Linked DNA regions of Lonchura striata. The main gene of each other region encodes a partner of the protein of the gene in region 2 in a complex. Links are inferred from orthologs where the notes say so. Each region holds a gene or a part of one and is shown on either strand. Other genes may lie near its edges.

Region 1 (8,193 bases), on a different chromosome or scaffold from region 2:
TTTGCACATTAAGGCTCAGCTTTTCATTTATTTTTTTTCCAAGGAAGCATTTTCTGGCCAGCTGGCAGCCAACACACCGCCAGACACATTTTTTGGTGTCACTCCTCTTTGTGGTCACACAGGAGTGACACCCACTTGCATTTGCATCTGGGAGATGTAAAAACCAGCACAAAGACAGACCAGCACAAAGACAGAAAACTGGGCATCTGGTTTGTAAAATCCACCCTTCACTATCCTAGCAGTGATTTGGACAAACTGGTGCAAATGTCCCAGCAGTAAATTTAAGTGACTTCTGAAATGAAATCCTCAAATAGAAAACCCTTGGGTTGGACTCTGTACTCCTTTTCCACTCCCGTGCTAAGGCTGTTGCCAGCAGGATCCAATCTATTTTACTGGAACTGCTTTTTCTGGTTCCAAGAGACCGGTTGGATCCCTTCACCTCTCCTCCCTCACCCACCAGACCTGCCAAAGGAAGGAAGAGTCTCAGCCAAACCAGTTTAAAACCCGCAGGAACCGCATGCCTCTTGTCTCCTCTTGCTGGCAGGAGCAGCAGCCAGCCCCTTCCCTGCTCTGCTCACGTCAGGATGAATAAATCTGTGGTGTTGGGATGCCAGATGCAGCAGGATTGGACCCACAGAGCTCCAGGAGAGATGCAGGGAACCATCCCCCAAAAATGGGGTTGTGGGCATGGATGTTTCAGGAAAGAACCAGGGAGAGATCCCTCAAAATGGTCATTATTTAATTTTTTGGGCAAAGCATTGCCTTCACATGCCTGTGCCATCTGTGGCCAGCTTTGTCCCTTGTTTATGAATAGCTTCTGCCAAAAACAAAATACAGAGAAGCAGCAAAAAGGGAAGAAAAAGACCAAGCTGAGAAGGGGCTGGACAGGACATTTCTTCAAGGCTGGCAGGTTGAGACAAGCCCGGTGAATAGAAAAGTAAATGAATAGAAAAGTAAATGGGACTGGTCAGAGCACAGAGTGAATGGCTGCAGGGTCTCCGATAATGTCACATCATGTCCCAGCTTGTTACAGGCAGAAAATTCTTGTGTAGCTCCACGTCCAGCACTCAGGAATGTGGCAGACTTTCCCAGGCAGGTGGTCTGGTCTGTTGCAGAAATTATTCAGAAAGTACAGAAATTTATGTAGTTCCAAATGCTTAATGCCAGCCCCCTGCAGGGCACAATTAAAGAAGAAAATAAAAATAAGAAAACAGGGGAAATGGCTCTTAGGAGGAGAGAGAGCAGCTGGGTAGGAGCATCCCAAGACCTTCTCCCATCTTGCATCTCCCAGAGCATGGTATCCAATTTGGAAGCTTCCTGGGCATCAGAGAAGACCCAGATAAACCCAGTCTGGCGCCAAGGTCAAGTAAGGAAGGAATTCACCTCGCCCAATTCTTTGCTGCAGGGCACTGCAAAGTATGTCTCCACCTCCTCCCTCCAGGCTGAGCTTAGATGCATCACAAGGGAGACATTCACCCTTTGCAGGGTGATAATTTTTTAAAATACCCCTGTCTGATCTCCTTCCTGCTCTTCAGAGCTACCAGCAGAGGAAGGCAGTAGATGATGATATTGAATTATCTCTGCCTCCCACGCAGGCTGGCTTTTCTTAGGCAAAAAATAAAAAAAAAAAGTAATCAAGGCAATGAAAAATACACAACTGAGAGTTTCTTGTAGCCATTGGTGTAAATGAAGAGGGTCCCATGATTGAAAGGTTTTGGGGGATGCAGATATCCCAAACTGAGGATGGCTATCACTGCTCCCCCCTCCTTTCGGATCTGATAGAGGAACTAATGAGCTCCTGGTCTCCAGGCATTGGTATCAACACCAGCCCTGGCACATAAAATTCAGAGCTGGGAGGGTCTGAGGGCTCAGTGGGAGTGCAGCACAGCCCAAATCCAGTCTGAGAGCATGGACCATCCATTTGGATAATGATAACTTGGCCAGACCCTGAAGAGGATCACTGCAGCTTTTTGAAATATGTTAAGGCATTATTAAGTTCAGCATCTGATGAAGCTCATGAACAAAACCTGAAGCCCTGCGATTTCTCATGCTCAAAATTTAATCTGATCTGACAGAACATTTTTTAAACAGCACTTTCATCCAACACCCTGTTTATAAGGATTTAGAAGTTCATAGAATTTGCTGCTCCAGTGACTTTTCAATCTTTCCCCAATCTGTGGGCCCCTAAAATCTTTCCAGGACAGCACAGCCCCTGGTATTGCGTATTTAAGTCTACTAAAATAGCTTTACTAGTAGGTTTACTAGTAGTACTAGGTTTACTACTAAAGATTTGGAAATTCAGAGAATTTGCTGCCCCAGTGACTTCTCAGTCTTTCTCCAATCTGTGGGCCCCTAAAACCTTTCCAGGACAGCACAGCCCCTGGTATTGCGTATTTAAAGTTACTAAAATAGTTTTACTACTCCTCTCAGTTATTTTTTCAGGATTCCCAGAACCCACTGAACAACTCCTGCCCAAACCACACGAGACCCATCACATGAAGCAAAACCAAGGGAGCCAAATCCCATCCTCTGCTCCCGGGTGAAGCCTGCCCTTGAGAGCCCCACCAGCCTCAAGCCTCACAGAGGCATTTCCTGGTATTTGTCCCCATAAAGTGCGACGGTGTCACCGATCCGCGTCGCTGCCGGTGGCACGGCGCCAGTTTGCACCTTTGCTGGCCGAATGCGTCACCTCGCCGCTGATAACGTAATCAATCTATTAACCGTGTTTGACTTCCTCAGCCCGGTCTCCTGCCGTCCCTCCTCGCCCACAGCCTCAGCAGGTTGTTTTGTCCCTCCAGCCCACGGGGACCCGAGGTTTTGGCTGGCTTGCCCCCAGCTCAGGGACCGGAGAACAGATACTCACTCCAGCCGTTCCTCCTCTTTTTTCCGCAGATCAAAGTCCCGTTGAACGACTTCCCAAACATGCTTGGCTTCTTCATCGGTGAGCTTGGAGAGGTCCAGCTTCCTGCCCATCTCGTCGCGGCGAGACGTGAAGCCGATCCCGTTACTCGCGCTCCCCGAGCGCTCGCTGTCCCGTACCATGGGATGCTGCTGACGAAGGGGGAAGAGCTCAGCCCCACCTCCGCGGCTGCCCATATAACCGGGCAGGGGCAGAGCTGCGGGCAGGCCAGCCGGCTCCTGCCAGCACCGCAGCCGCTCTGCCGGGCGAGCCTGCCCGCGGAGCCGGCCGCCGAGCAGGGCTGGCACGGTGCCTATCGGCTGCGGGGACTCCTCGCCAGCCGGGAGGGCGGCCCTGCCTTCCCCCGGGGCGCTGCCCGCAGCTGCAGCCGCTCCGGACCTCGCCCGCCTGGCTGGGGCTACGGGAGATGTTTACTCTGCCTGCTTGATGCTGGGTGTGCGAATGAAAGGGAGCCTTCAGACGCCTCCCCGGGGAAGGCAGGCCACGGGCTTTGGGAGGGAGCGGAGCATCCCCGGGAGGAGCCGTGCCTGCACGCCCGGGAGGACCGGCTCCATCGCGGTGGCTCCTGCCCCACCGGGATGCTCCGCTCCCCAGCCCGCTCTTCTGTGTCTCATCTCATTACACAAATTTTGCCCCTAGCAGCAGTTTGTGAGGAAAACTTCAGCGCATCTGGCTTCCCCGCAATACCAGAGACTAGCGTCCTGTATTGCTCTCACAGCATTTTGGGCAGCTGAGCTTTGCTCGTGGCAAACAGCTTAATTAGGACGCAGCACTTCCCTCGTTTGCCGTGAGCAAGAAAAGACGGTTTGACAGGATTTTAAGAAAAGCGCTAAATACACCACATAAGCAAAGAGATATAAATTGTAATATATATCCGACTGCCGAGGCTGTTGTCTTGCTCAGTAAAACACTCCCTCTGTGTTCAAAGTAAACCCATTTCTCACTTTCGTGAGATCAAATATTGATGGTACTCTTTTTTTTTTTTTTTCTCTTCCCTGACATGAATGTAAACAGGGAGCAAGACAGCAAGACCAAAGAGGAAAACTTCTGCCTAGTGGGACTAAAATCCCTGCTGCCCACCCAGGGATACAGGGAATTATCCACCCTGGTAACTCACTTGAAACAGAGATTAGATTAAACTCCATGAATAGGGTCAGAAAAGTATTTTGAACCCGAATTAGGATGGATTTTGTGCAGGAAAAGTGATGACTACAGATGCAGTGTTTGAGCTTGGATATCGGGAATGCATGATCTTCTCTGGAAGCCAGAAATTGATTTCCAGCTCCTCGTCCAGCAGAGGTCCCGACAAAAGCAATCAGTTTATTGGCAGGAGCCAGATATCAGTCGGGCAGGTCCTTATGTAAGCGTGTTTGGGAGCCCTTGCGCCCCACTGCATCCGAACAGGGAGCGGTCAACAGCGATAATTAACATCACAACGAGCCCCTGTTCCAGGGCCTCCCGCTCCAATCACCCAGCACCTCTGACCGCCCTAGATCCCAACACATTCTCCTCCACAAGGATAAAGGGGTTGCGTTAAACCAGGAAGATGTGGCCTGCTATGCAATGAACATGGGAAAAAAATTGCGAGTGTTCAGCAGTGCCAATACCCCCTAAAAAGGGCTGGCTTAGCCAGAAAACCACCTCAAGGGAAATGTCCTGGGTGCACGAATAAATTCAAAGTATTCTGTTGGCAAACTATTGCCTGGGAACGGTTTCTGTAGGAAAACTCTCCTCCCTCGGCTCACTGATGTGTGTAACAGCAAAGACAGAAATGTTTTCTTTTTTTTTTTTCTTTTTTCCCCTCTTTCAAAGAAGTTTAGATTTTTAGCAGTTCAGACCCAGCTATCACCAGCTTCCAACAATTCTCTGCCTTAAGGAGGACAATTAAACCTGCTCACCCACAGCTCCCTCTCCCATCATAGAACCGTGAATAAAGGCTCACAGATCTTACAAACTCATAAAAAAAACCCCAAACAAACAAACAAACAAACAACCCCCAAAAAGGACCAGCACCAAACCACGCACCCAGAACCACTCAGACACTGAGACACTGTCACATGGAAGCCTTCAGAAAATATGTGGATGTGGCACTTGGGGACATGGTTAGTGGTGGAACTGGCAGTGTTAGGTTAATGGTTGGAGTCAGTCTTAGAAGACTTTTCCACCCTTTATGATTCCAAGTTGTAGGGCCAGATGACATTATAGGTCTGCCTAAGTCCACCAGCCTCTGCAGTGACCACACATGTGTGGGATGGAGATCAGGAGCAGGGATGGAAAGGAAAAGTTTTGTGTTTCCTATCAGCTGGAAGCTCAAATGGACCTTGATTCCACTTGAATCGGGAACCTGGTGGCAAAATGGGAGAGGGAAGTGTCATAAGCTAAGCCTCTCCTGGGAAACCAGGCATAGATGGATCCCAGGCTCCATTTCTGATATTGATTATGGCCACGGGAGGAAAAGAATGGATTTCTGGGGCATCTTTAAGAGAAATGCACTTCTAGCTGCAGGGCCACTCTTTTAAAAGTAACAGTCACATGAACTGTTATCTTTGCAGTTCTTGGTAATTATTTGTAAGACAACTGTGAACTGATATATGTATGGAACATGTGGCCTGGCCCCCCTCCAGCCATTCATTTCACAATGTTTTAACTGATAACTGGAAGTAAATCCATAATCAGAGTTCAACAAAACTGATGAGCGAAGATAATATCCAGCTGCTTCTAAAGACAGCAAACACCACCTCAGTAAGCCACCCAGCACTCCCACATCCTCATCTTCTTCCTGCTGAAGGGGCCAAACCAAGGGGCAAAACCCCAATAATTTCTCCAGTACCCAATTTTTCCAAACAGCTGCATTAAGTGCTGCAGAGGGCAGATGTGCCTACACGAGGTGCTGAAATGGTGATTTACAGTGGAGTCAGCTCCAGCTTTGTTTCTCACTCCATCAACACTGACAGGTGTTTTGGCTCCCCTCAACACGGGGTCATCCCAAATACCAAGCTAGAGGAGATTCCAAAAGCCAGATGGAGTCGAACCAGGAGCATCCACCAGCAGCTCCAGCCCATTTCAAAGCCGCAGGCAGAGGTCACAGGACCCTTATTCACAGGAGCATAACAAAACCAGGAGCTCCAACAGGCACGTTGCTGGAGTTTCCTGAGTGCCTCTGCCTCTCCCCCCATCCTTCCACGATCATCTCCAAGTCATGAGATATCCCTGGGATGGCATTCCTTCTCCCTTCAGTTTCTTGGCAGCTTTACAATGACATCTTATCAGCACCATCATAGTGGAGAAGAACAAGCAGGACAGGGAAGGAACGTACAATGCCACTGCTATTTCTGTATGTGACTCACGAGGGATTGCCATGGGTTTCATCCATTAATACAGCAATTAAATTATGCTATGGCATGACCACATCTCATTTGGAATGACCCCAACAGCCTCACTTAGAGAAAATAACCATTCAACTTTAATTATCACGGATAACGATGCTCTGACCTCTGTAGCAATTAGGAAACTATCACTGAGAACATGAAAACAAAGTTTGTGGAGTATCATTTGTGGGGTTGAAGATATAAGGACATTTTTCCCAACCAATGTGACCATTAGGGAGCCCTCTCAGTCCCAACAGCCATCACAGATCCCATAGCCCTTACAGATCTTCAAAAACCCCGTGAGCCTCACAGCACTGACAGCCCCCCAAAGCCCCCATACCCTACACAGACCCCAGAGCCCACATACCCCAAACAGACCTCAAAGCCCCCACAGCCCTCACATCCCTAACACAGCCCATAACCCTTAACAAACCCCATAGCTGTCATCCCTCATATAACAGATAGCCCTTACAGACCCTATAGCCTACACAGACCCTACAGGCCTTAGAGCTCCCAAAGCCCTCACAACCCCATAGGACCCATACCCAAATTATGGGAAAATGGGGTAATATCCCTCAATTTTAACCCTAAAAAGGTCAGGGACAACAGGGATTCCCTCTCAATTTAAACCTTAAAATGATTAAAATGGCAGGGGGGTGGGGGGGTGGGGTGTTGCCTTAAATTCAAAATAAACACATGACACAAAAAAGACCTTTCTTTTTCACTTAAACTGGAAAATGGGGATTCCTGGTCAATTAATTGATAGCCCAAAAAACACAGAAAGGGCAGGTTTTTGATCAATTGATAACTTTTAAATCACAGGTGAAGGGGTCTTAGTTTAAATACAAATAATAATAAAGGAGGGTTTTCCCTCAGTTTAAACTCCTTTTCCGCCCCAGCTCCCTGCCTTTGTTCTGGGATCAAAAGGATGCACTGGAGAGAAACTGGAGGCACTGGGATGCACTGGTGAGGGATGGAGAAGATGAAATAGAAAGGAGAAAGGAAAAGGATCTTCCCAGGGCCCCCAAATGCCGTCCTGCTCATCACCCTCACCAGCCACAGCTGGGACTGCCCCACCCCTCAGCACAAAGGGTGATGGTTTTAAACTGAAAGATAGAGGTCAATATAGACATAAACACCAGGAAAAGTTTTTACAATAAGGGCAGGGAGGCTCTGGCACAGGTTTCCCACAGCAGCTGTGGCTGCTCCATCCCTGGCAGTGTCCAAGGCCAGGCTGGACAGGGCTTGGAGCAACCTGGGACACTGGGAGGTGTCCCTGCTGGTAGCAGAGGAGTGGAATGAGATAAGATTTGAAGTCCCTTCCAACGCAATATATTATATAAAAACCCCATCGACTCCCATTGCAGAGGTCTCTGAGAGGAAGAAGTGGCTTTAAATCTGTTTGAGATCCCTCACCTGGGGCTGGGGGCGTGCTCTGGGACCCGGCCGGGGTCTGACGCCACTGATCCCTTCCCCTTCCAAGACCGACGAGTGTCTCCAGCGTGCCTTTTCTTTGGTTTTTTTTTGTTTGTTTGTTTGGTTTTTTTGGGTTTTTTTTTTTTTTTTTTTTTTTTCTTCATCTTTCCCTGTCGGTCCGGGTTGTCTCCTTTATTTATTTATTTTCCGCCAGCACGGGGAGTGCGGAGGGTCCGGCACGGCTCCTCCAGCCTTCCTTCCCTTCCAGCCGCCCCGCTCCGCTGCATTCCCAAGGCCTGGAGCGACACCAAGCTTCCCTGGGAGGTTCTGCACGGCAGCTCGGCTTTGGGAGCTTCGTCCTCGCCGAGCCGGGGCTGCCGGCTGCTTTTCTTTCCCTTTTCTCCTCATCTTGCTCGCCCTTTTTTCTTTCATTTCCCCACCCTTTCTCCTTCTCCTTTCCCCCTCACCGTTTCCGCCATTATCCCCCCC
Region 2 (8,374 bases):
CTGCTAGAGGTATATATCCAACCAGACAAGGCTCAAAAGCATAACGTTTCTAGTAAGAATGCTCGAGACGTGGAACTGATTTAAGCTGCTTCACCCCAAAATTAAAGCTAATGCCCCCAAGCAGAGTCTGAATTTGCAGAGTCACTGGGCACAGGAATACAAAGCCTCATGGTTTGGGCCCACTGCTCTCAACTAGTTTGTGAGTGCACTTGAGTCCTTTAACTTAAATCCATTTTTCTAGATTAACTACAACCATGTCCAACTCCAAGGCTGGCTATATAGCCACCAAATTTAGAAATACATCTGGATGAATCAAAACAATAGGGTTTTCACAGGAGTGGCATGACTTCTTAAAAAAGTCTGTATTGCTGGTTTCTAACAAAAAAATTACCTTGGAAAAATAGAGTTCCTTTCAGCTATTTCAATATATGGTTGGGATAGTGGATGCTAGCTTTATGTTGATATGCAAAGAACCCAAATTTGAAGTGTGGCAAGCACATTTCTCTCCCTCTCAGGATTTTTCATAGAGGTACACAGAGAGAAATGGAGAAAACAATTTCTATTTCTGCTTCTTGTTTTTCCTATGTGAAATATGTTTGGAGAATTGTTTACCTGGAGTGAGTGCTTAGTTGGATTCTGGTGAGGATTGTTTGAGCCTGATGGTCAATCCAACCCACCTGGGGCTGGACTCTCAGAGAGGGTCACGAGTTGTGGGGGAGTTAGAGTCAGAGAAAGTAGTATGTAGTTTTAGTATCCTCCTTTTATATAGTATATTAATTTATTTTAGCATAGTTATAATAAAGAAATAATTCAGCCTTCTGAATTGAGTCAGACATCATCATTTCTTCCCATTGGGTTCGCCTGCGTTTACAATATTGAAGGGATAACCTACGAGCAAACTGGACACACTGGAGCATACAGCAGAGCCCCACTTCCACCACCCCCAGCTGGAAAGAAGTCTGTCCTGCCAATCTCAGACAGCATCTGAAGAAATGCCAACAACTTCTTTGCAACACTGCTCATCCAGTCTTTAACAGAACTTCACCAACCCTCGCTGCAAGTCACTCACACCACCACAGCCACCTGAAAAACACAGGCAAGCTGGGATGGGGGCATCCAGTGGGAGAGGGTAGGAGAGCTGCCTTTGCTCCAGGGCACACAGCAGCAACAATGTGCTGAAAATTCATCCCCAACCCTGCTTGCCAGCAAAGTATCTATGCCAACACCATATGCTAAGAGCTGACACTACACTGGAAGCTCTGGTACTTTAAGCAGCTGCCCTGAATGACAATCTCTGCTTACCAGTTAAAAAAGATGTGAAACTCACTCTTTCTGTGCCTACATGTGTCTCTAAAGAGGACAAGAACAGCCTGTGGTGTGAGAGAAGCACAGACACAATCTCACCGGCCTTCATCACCCAGCCAGTCCTTCCTGCAGGATCATCCCTGCACTTGTCTGACTTTGCGTTTGCTCTTTTTACCTCAGCATGTTTGACCTTAAATCCATTATTTACGTTACCTAATCAAGGATGATCTAGTGAATGCTATTCAAGCAGCATGCTGCCATTACTTGAGGAAAGAGCCAGCAGAGTCTCCCTTGAGCACCCAGCAGGTTTCCTACCCTGGCCTGCCCAACTCTGAGCCAGGCCCTCCTCAGGAATTATAAGGGGCCTTGAGTTTTCTGCTGTAACACAGTTCAAAGACAACAGCACACCCACATTTTTGGAGCAGCTTCTGACCAAAGGAATCAACCACTCAGTGAAAAGTATTCAAGGTCAGATAAAGTTGGGAATTAAAAAAAAAAAAAAAAAAAAAAAAGGAAAAAAGCAAGTAGTCTGATCCACACTTTATGAGACATTTTAATTCCATAAGAAGAACGTCATCAGAGAGGAAGAATCAAAACCACATTTCTAAAATAACTCCTTACACAGAGAAGGTCTGTGGGGTGCCTGAAAACAGCTCTGCAGTACCACCACTCTCTTGACCAGAATGGTAAATTTTATCCCTTTGGGATAGTTCAAAGAGGTATTCTTGTATGAAATACAAAACACCAAGGTGTGCCATATCATTCATGTATTTAATTAATCTTTTGGGGGTTCAGGCATGCACCTCACCTCTCACATTCAATTTCTCCTACACAAATACACTCTCAGAGCAAGCAGTCCCTGTTGAAGGGACTGTCTGGTTTGATTTGCCCTGATGCAGTCACTGCTGTCCCACCACTCCTGAGTGGGAGGGCTCTACAAATAAGGTGACCTATCCATGTCCAAACAAAAAGTCTGTTTCCTTTCCTTCCTTGCAGAGTGCTAGACTGGGGATAATTCTGGAGCATTTAACTAAGTGGCTCAAGGATCCAGATGGCATGGCTTTCCTACCAACACTCTTTGCCTGTGCAAGCCTTTTGAAAGTAGTATTTGGAGTTTGCCATGTTGTGCTGCCCTGCTCAATTCCAGTGGCCTCTGTCATCCCTTCTGCCCTTTAAGACCTGTTTTCTGTCATTTTTTTTCAGATTTATGCACCAGGTCAAGGCGGAGCAACGAAAACAATGCATTGCTAGGAGTGAAAATAACCATTTCCACATCTCAAGTTGCAGGCTTTGCCATCAAGATGCACAGGACGGTAACTGTTTCCAGGCAGAAGCTGATGAGATACTAACACACAAGACTAAAAAGATTAGAAAAATGTCTGATTAAAGAGCATATGAGAGTCACGCTGCGCATCGCTGCTGACTGCAGGGCTTCTGAACGACTGCCAGAAGAACATAATCCAAAGGTGCAGTGTCACCGAAAAGCGCAGCTGAATATCAGAGCGCTCATGTCCTCGGAGCCGTTTTTCCTCAAGGAGCGGGACGGCGCGCCCGAAGGCGATAACCGCGCCGCCGCACCGCGCTGCCCCGGCCGCGGCGCATCCCGGCCGCGCCGCCGGAGCGCGGAGCGCGGAGCCGGGCGGGAGGGGCGGCGCGGCGGCTCCCGCGGGCCCGGGCCGCCGGCACCGGGCTCGCCGGCGGCGGGAGCGGCCCCGCGCCCGCCGGGATGCGGCCCCGCCGGGGCAGCGGCGCCCGCGCTCCCGCTGCTCCCACGGAACAGAGCCCCCGCTGCCCCGGCCGAGCCCCCGCTGCCCCGCCGGCCCCCGCCCGGCCCGCCCCGCGGCCCCACCGCCCCGCGCAGCCCGGCCCCGCCGCCGCCCTACCTTCGTGTAGAGCTCGGAGGCTGCCATGGCGCAGGGCGCGGGCGGGCGGCCCCTCTGCGGCAGCCCGGCGGCGGGAGGCGGAGGCGGGCGGGGGGTGGAGGAGGAGGAGGAGAGGAGGAGGAGGAGGATGCTCAGGCGGCGGCCCGCGCCATGTTGCTGCTACCTGGCGGGCTCTGTGCATTGTGGGAGCGGCGGCGGGGCCGGGCCGGGCCGGGCCGGGCCGGGCGGGCGGCGCGCTGCCTCCCACCGGCGGGCGGGACCGCTCCCGGACCCCTGCGCGAGCCGTCAGTGGGCTGCGCGCCCCCCGCGCTATGCCAGAACCGGTATTCCTCCTCTCCCTTACCATCCTTTTTTAAAATTATTATTCATTTTATTCTTTCTCTCCTACACTGAACAAATTACTCGTTATGTCATCAGGGATAGTTCTGATCTTCTCTGGTCCCCAGCCCGTGCCCTGCTCGAGGCGCGGAGGAGGCTCCGCACCGCGGGCACCACCAGGCGCAGGGAACCCTCCAGTCCCGTCTTTTCACGGGCACCGATTCTAATCCCATCCTTCAAATTATTTACAGCTTGATTGTATTTGTCATTCAAACCGTTACTGAAGGCACTGAAAGGAAATGGGCCCAAACCAGTTCCTTCCGTAATTAAGCCCATTCTCACCAAGACATGGAGGTACACATCGTTGAGAAGTTTAACATCCATGACAAAGGGGAATGAAAAGCATAGTCCGTGCTTCAGCAAGGTCTCAAGATGACAACCGACTCCTTTATGATTTGTTTATGACTGTTTTGTACAGCTCAGGTTATGTCAAGAGTTCTTTTGACAGCAAAACTGAAGCTATTCTCTCTTTCTCTGTTTTTGTTTTCCACCTTGGAAATGCATCCTACTACTCCTAGTCCAAAATACAAACCAAGTTTAACATAGGCAAGTTTGCCACACTCTCCACCAAACTGCTTTTGACTATCTATCCTCTCTCAGAATTCAGCTGTTTAGCTAACAGCTGTGTATTCAGTGGGCAGTATCTGCACTGCCCCTGAAACCCGCAACTACCAAAGAAACAGACAAACCTGTTTACAGAGAAACTGAACCATGAAAGCAATGGGTCAGAAATCACTCATCAATTTAGTAACAGAGAGAAAACACTACCCTGACTCCCAAAACAAACACTCCCAATAAATGCTTATCTGGACTTTACTGCTGCTATCTAAAAAGGAGATGGAGAAAGCAGCAAGCACAAACAGAAAATAGCCAAGATGAAAATAACGTAGCTTACCCAAAATTGTTTGGATTAGGTGCAGACGTATGGCCTTCACAGCTAGGAAACTAAGGTTAGCATATAGAGATTTGTAGAAACACCTGATTTTGCTGGGAGAGTTCAAAATAATGTGAACAGAATTTAAAAATATATTCCTTCCCAGGTTCTGTCAGAACGTCCAGGCTCATCAGCCATGACTGCTGTTGCTGTCCCAAACCAGGATGCTCACTCCAGCAGAACTGGACAGTCACTCTCAGTGTTACTAAAAGCCCAGAATGGGCTCCTGGGAGCTGCTGTCCAGATCAGGGGTGAGGTTTTGGCTAAGCAGTTTTCACAGCTGCTCTTCATCCATCTGCCAAGGCAAACCAGAGAGATCTGTACTAAAGCTGCCAGTCATCTTTCAGGTGCAACGCTGGAACTGCAAACAGAAATTTCAGTTTTGTTTTCAGAAAGGACCTGGACCTCCTCTTGGTGTGATGCTTCACATCGGATTTTTTGAACCCTTTCCTCACAATATTTATGCTAAATTCTTAAATTCTAAGACACTCATTTCAGGAGTTTGCTTGGACTGTGGATTACTGATCTCAGTCACTCACAGCTGGAGCTCATGAGCCAAATGTAATTATGAGCCACAGCAAAAAATAGATATGAGTCCAAAATATGCTATGATTTGACACAATTTGCATAAACCAGGATTTCAAATCTGCCATTAAGGACAGGAATTGAGGGCATTGAAAGTTGCCAAGAAACAACCTGTTTGTAATGTATCCAGACCGACTACTTTAAGATGCATCTCTTGCATCAAATATTTGCTGGCAAGATTTTGAAAGACCTCACCTCTTACCTTGCACACAACATCTTTTTGAAAAGATGGCATTTTTTTTTCAGAGCATAGATCCCAAGGTGTTCCAGATAACAATGTATAAATGATGGAACTGACACAGTCCCCCCATACAATTTTATACTGAATTTTTATGCAATTTTTTTTCAGCAGTTAAGAAGCATTTGTCCTATCCTTTTTCTTACATCTGTGTTCCGTTCATATCTGTGACCTGTTCAACTCTGGCAGATAAATTCCCTTCTCACACAGGACCTCCTATTCTGCTGTCACACTGTACAATGAGTGAGCAGAGAGTTCTCTGCCAAGGCCATATTCTCACACCTCAAGGCCCAGGCCTGGGGATTTCAGCTGTAGGAAACAAACAGGTCTGGTTCCAGCCAGTACTGAGGGAACAGTTAAGAACTCTGAAATGTAATACAAGAGATATGTAGGAAGAGAGACAATCATGTAGCATGCAAGTATGCAGAGCACAGAGGGTGCTGCATAACCTTGGGGACTGAGCTAACTGTGTAAATAACACCCCATGGATCTGGAAGCTGTGCACAGATCAGCACCAAGCCTCGGGCTGACTGGGAAAGTAGTGGGACTTTTTTCCAGCATTGTGGTTTTTCGAATTGTTGCCATATTTAGGCCAACAGTCTAAAGCAATGCAAACTTCTTTGCACCAAGCTGGTTCCCAGACATCCCCTTCATTCAGTGCAAGGGACCCAAACAATCATCTGTTACGGAGTTTTCAAACAATAAGCTTTAATTGCCTTAATAGAAAAATAAGCACTGAAATATATATAAATGTGATTACATTAAAGTAATTCTGCAGTCTAACATACTAGAAACCAAAGCCCAGTCATATTTTTAATGATACAGAGTAGCAAGATTTAGAGTTTAGAAATTTTCCACAGAGAATACCGAAGTATCCTGTATTGTTTAGGAAACCACAGTAAAGATGAGACAAACCTCCATGGTGCAATAAAAACTAAGTAAATCGATTTATTCTGTATACTATACAACGTGTAAGTTTGTAAAGAACAATTGACACTTTTATCACCTTAACATCTTGACTGGGTGTAAATATGTCCAACAAAATGTACTCCTGTGGCCTTTACACAAACACTGTCCTACTACATCAAGAACAATGAGAGGGAAGCCTTTGGTGTTACAGATTTGGGGACATATCTGTGAAGTTGTAATTAATCCACTTAACTATCTCAAATAAAATGTTGGTGCTATCTGCTATAACAAGCCTACATGAGTACTACTCTAACAACTAAACACTGTCTATCTTTAAAGGCAAGATATGAAAGGGACTGCCAGTCTACAGTGTGGACAGGTTTTCTTTGAAAAAGGCAATTATCAAATGGTAAAACTCATATAATACATTATGTACATCAGTTTGGATAGCTGAGTTATCTTGCTGGAGTAAGCTGAAAGTAAGCATCAATCTGCAGTCATGTTCCATTTACTGTTAAGTGACTACTGGACTTCAGTTTTATACAGTGTACAGAATCAAAATAGCTGTGCCTGCTGCTGAGGTCTGTCAGATGTGAAGGCTCATAATCAGTCACTGACATAGTTAGTATTACAGTACTTCAAATATACACATGGAGAATATATTCATAGCTGAATCTGTAGTAATCTTAGGAACTGCAAGTCACTGAGTGAGCATTGGAAGAGCTTGTGTTGTCCAACCAGCAGGACAAGCTGAGTTGTAGCTAAGTGAGTGGAATGTTTAAATTTAAATGGCTATCTTTTTAAACCTTCCCAAACATCAAGAGAACTCACCTTAGGGGAGCTACAGAATAGTGGCACCAGACAATACACAGCAAGTCACCTTAAGCTGTTCAACATTTGTTTCAGGCCCAATCCTATCATTAAGTTTTAATTTCATCTATACATAGAAAAATAAAGAAGGATTTTTCACATTAGAACAAACATTTATGAAAAGCAGCTTGCTTCAATATTTCCAGTTTCCTTGTTATTCTTCCAGCCTAAGTTTTTAAAGAAGTCGAGTAGGTCCATTTCTTCAAACTGTTCTGCAAAATACTAGTATTTTTAATACTAGTGGAGGGTAAGAAATAAGGACAGGCTTGACAAAGCCTATCTAACTACTAAAACAGGGCTATACAGACTTGAAAATAATCAGGTCAGCAATTTTGAAATTCTCTGGAACTGCTTCTCTGAATCAAAAACATTACGTAGACACTGTATGTTCTGATCAAAACAGGACCAAATAAAGACTATTCAATTTCTCTTGACCATTTTGTTTGCTTCTCAAAGAGAGCATTGCAGAAGATATGGGCCAGCACTGGTATTGACTAGCAGTCCTTTATACCCCAAGACCTTTCTGAATATCTCAGCACAAAGTACAAGCTTCTAAAAACATGCATCTTTAAGTGTTTTCTCTTGTGATACTCACATTGGTGCTAACAGGCTGTTTCCAAACTATTTTTTAAAGAAAAAGTGTTCTGTAAACTGATCTTTTTAGTTTCTTGTTCTCCCAAAGACTGTGAAGGCTGTGACTACCTATATGAAAATCAATTACATTGTGGATCATATTCCACTTTCAATATTCTGATTTCATTGAACTCAGATGTTTTAAGTACATCAGTTCACCTAATACCAACTATGTATTTTGTCTATCTAGTACTTACAACCTTCATCATAAGCATGAACTGGAGTTCAATCCTATTTTCTGATATGAAAAGTTACCTATTTCTCAGTAAGTCATTACAGAAATACCTTTCCAGATATTTATTTCCACAAAGCCAATGAGGGGCTGCTGTACAACAGAGAAAAGGAAATAATTTACTGCCTCTTCAGGAGTTCAAGAAAATAAAAAAGATACCCTTCTGCTTCCAGAAATCTAAAATAGCCCATAGCCAATTGCGCATCAAGCATTGGTGAGCCCAAATTTGGTGTTTGCCACGCAGGGAACTCTCCAGAACTGTACACTTAGTCATATTCCATGCCAACAGACAGAGCATTTCTACTTTAAAAGCTTAAACAACTGCTGAACAGAAAGGGCACTTGCCTGCAAATATAAGTACAAATTCCAAATTTATACTTGAATGCTGGATTTTGTTGTGAAACAAA

The links.
Region 1: the proteins of MYO5A (region 2) and MLPH are in contact, whole or in part, in a crystal structure (PDB 4KP3), measured with the Mus musculus proteins. The link is inferred for Lonchura striata from reciprocal best matches to the Homo sapiens genes MYO5A and MLPH. Residues at the interface, in NP_034994.2 of Mus musculus: Asp1524, Val1527, Arg1528, Leu1531, Thr1532, Ile1535, Asn1536, Lys1539, Ser1570, Gly1571, Leu1588, Thr1589, Asn1590, Phe1591, Asp1592, Leu1593, Ala1594, Glu1595, Tyr1596, Val1599; in NP_443748.2 of Mus musculus: Lys184, Lys186, Arg187, Leu188, Leu189, Ser190, Phe191, Arg192, Asp195, Phe196, Glu197.

What each region holds. Positions count from the first base shown.
Region 1 is NC_134610.1:38,435,586-38,443,778, reverse strand, and holds the start of MLPH (melanophilin), read right to left. Parts: upstream 3,167-8,193; 5' UTR 3,097-3,166; coding exon 2,864-3,096; intron 1-2,863. UniProt on the Homo sapiens protein: Rab effector protein involved in melanosome transport. Serves as link between melanosome-bound RAB27A and the motor protein MYO5A.
Region 2 is NC_134613.1:12,472,643-12,481,016, reverse strand, and holds the start of MYO5A (unconventional myosin-Va), read right to left. Parts: upstream 3,373-8,374; 5' UTR 3,216-3,372; coding exon 3,189-3,215; intron 1-3,188. UniProt on the Homo sapiens protein: Processive actin-based motor that can move in large steps approximating the 36-nm pseudo-repeat of the actin filament. Can hydrolyze ATP in the presence of actin, which is essential for its function as a motor protein. Involved in melanosome transport.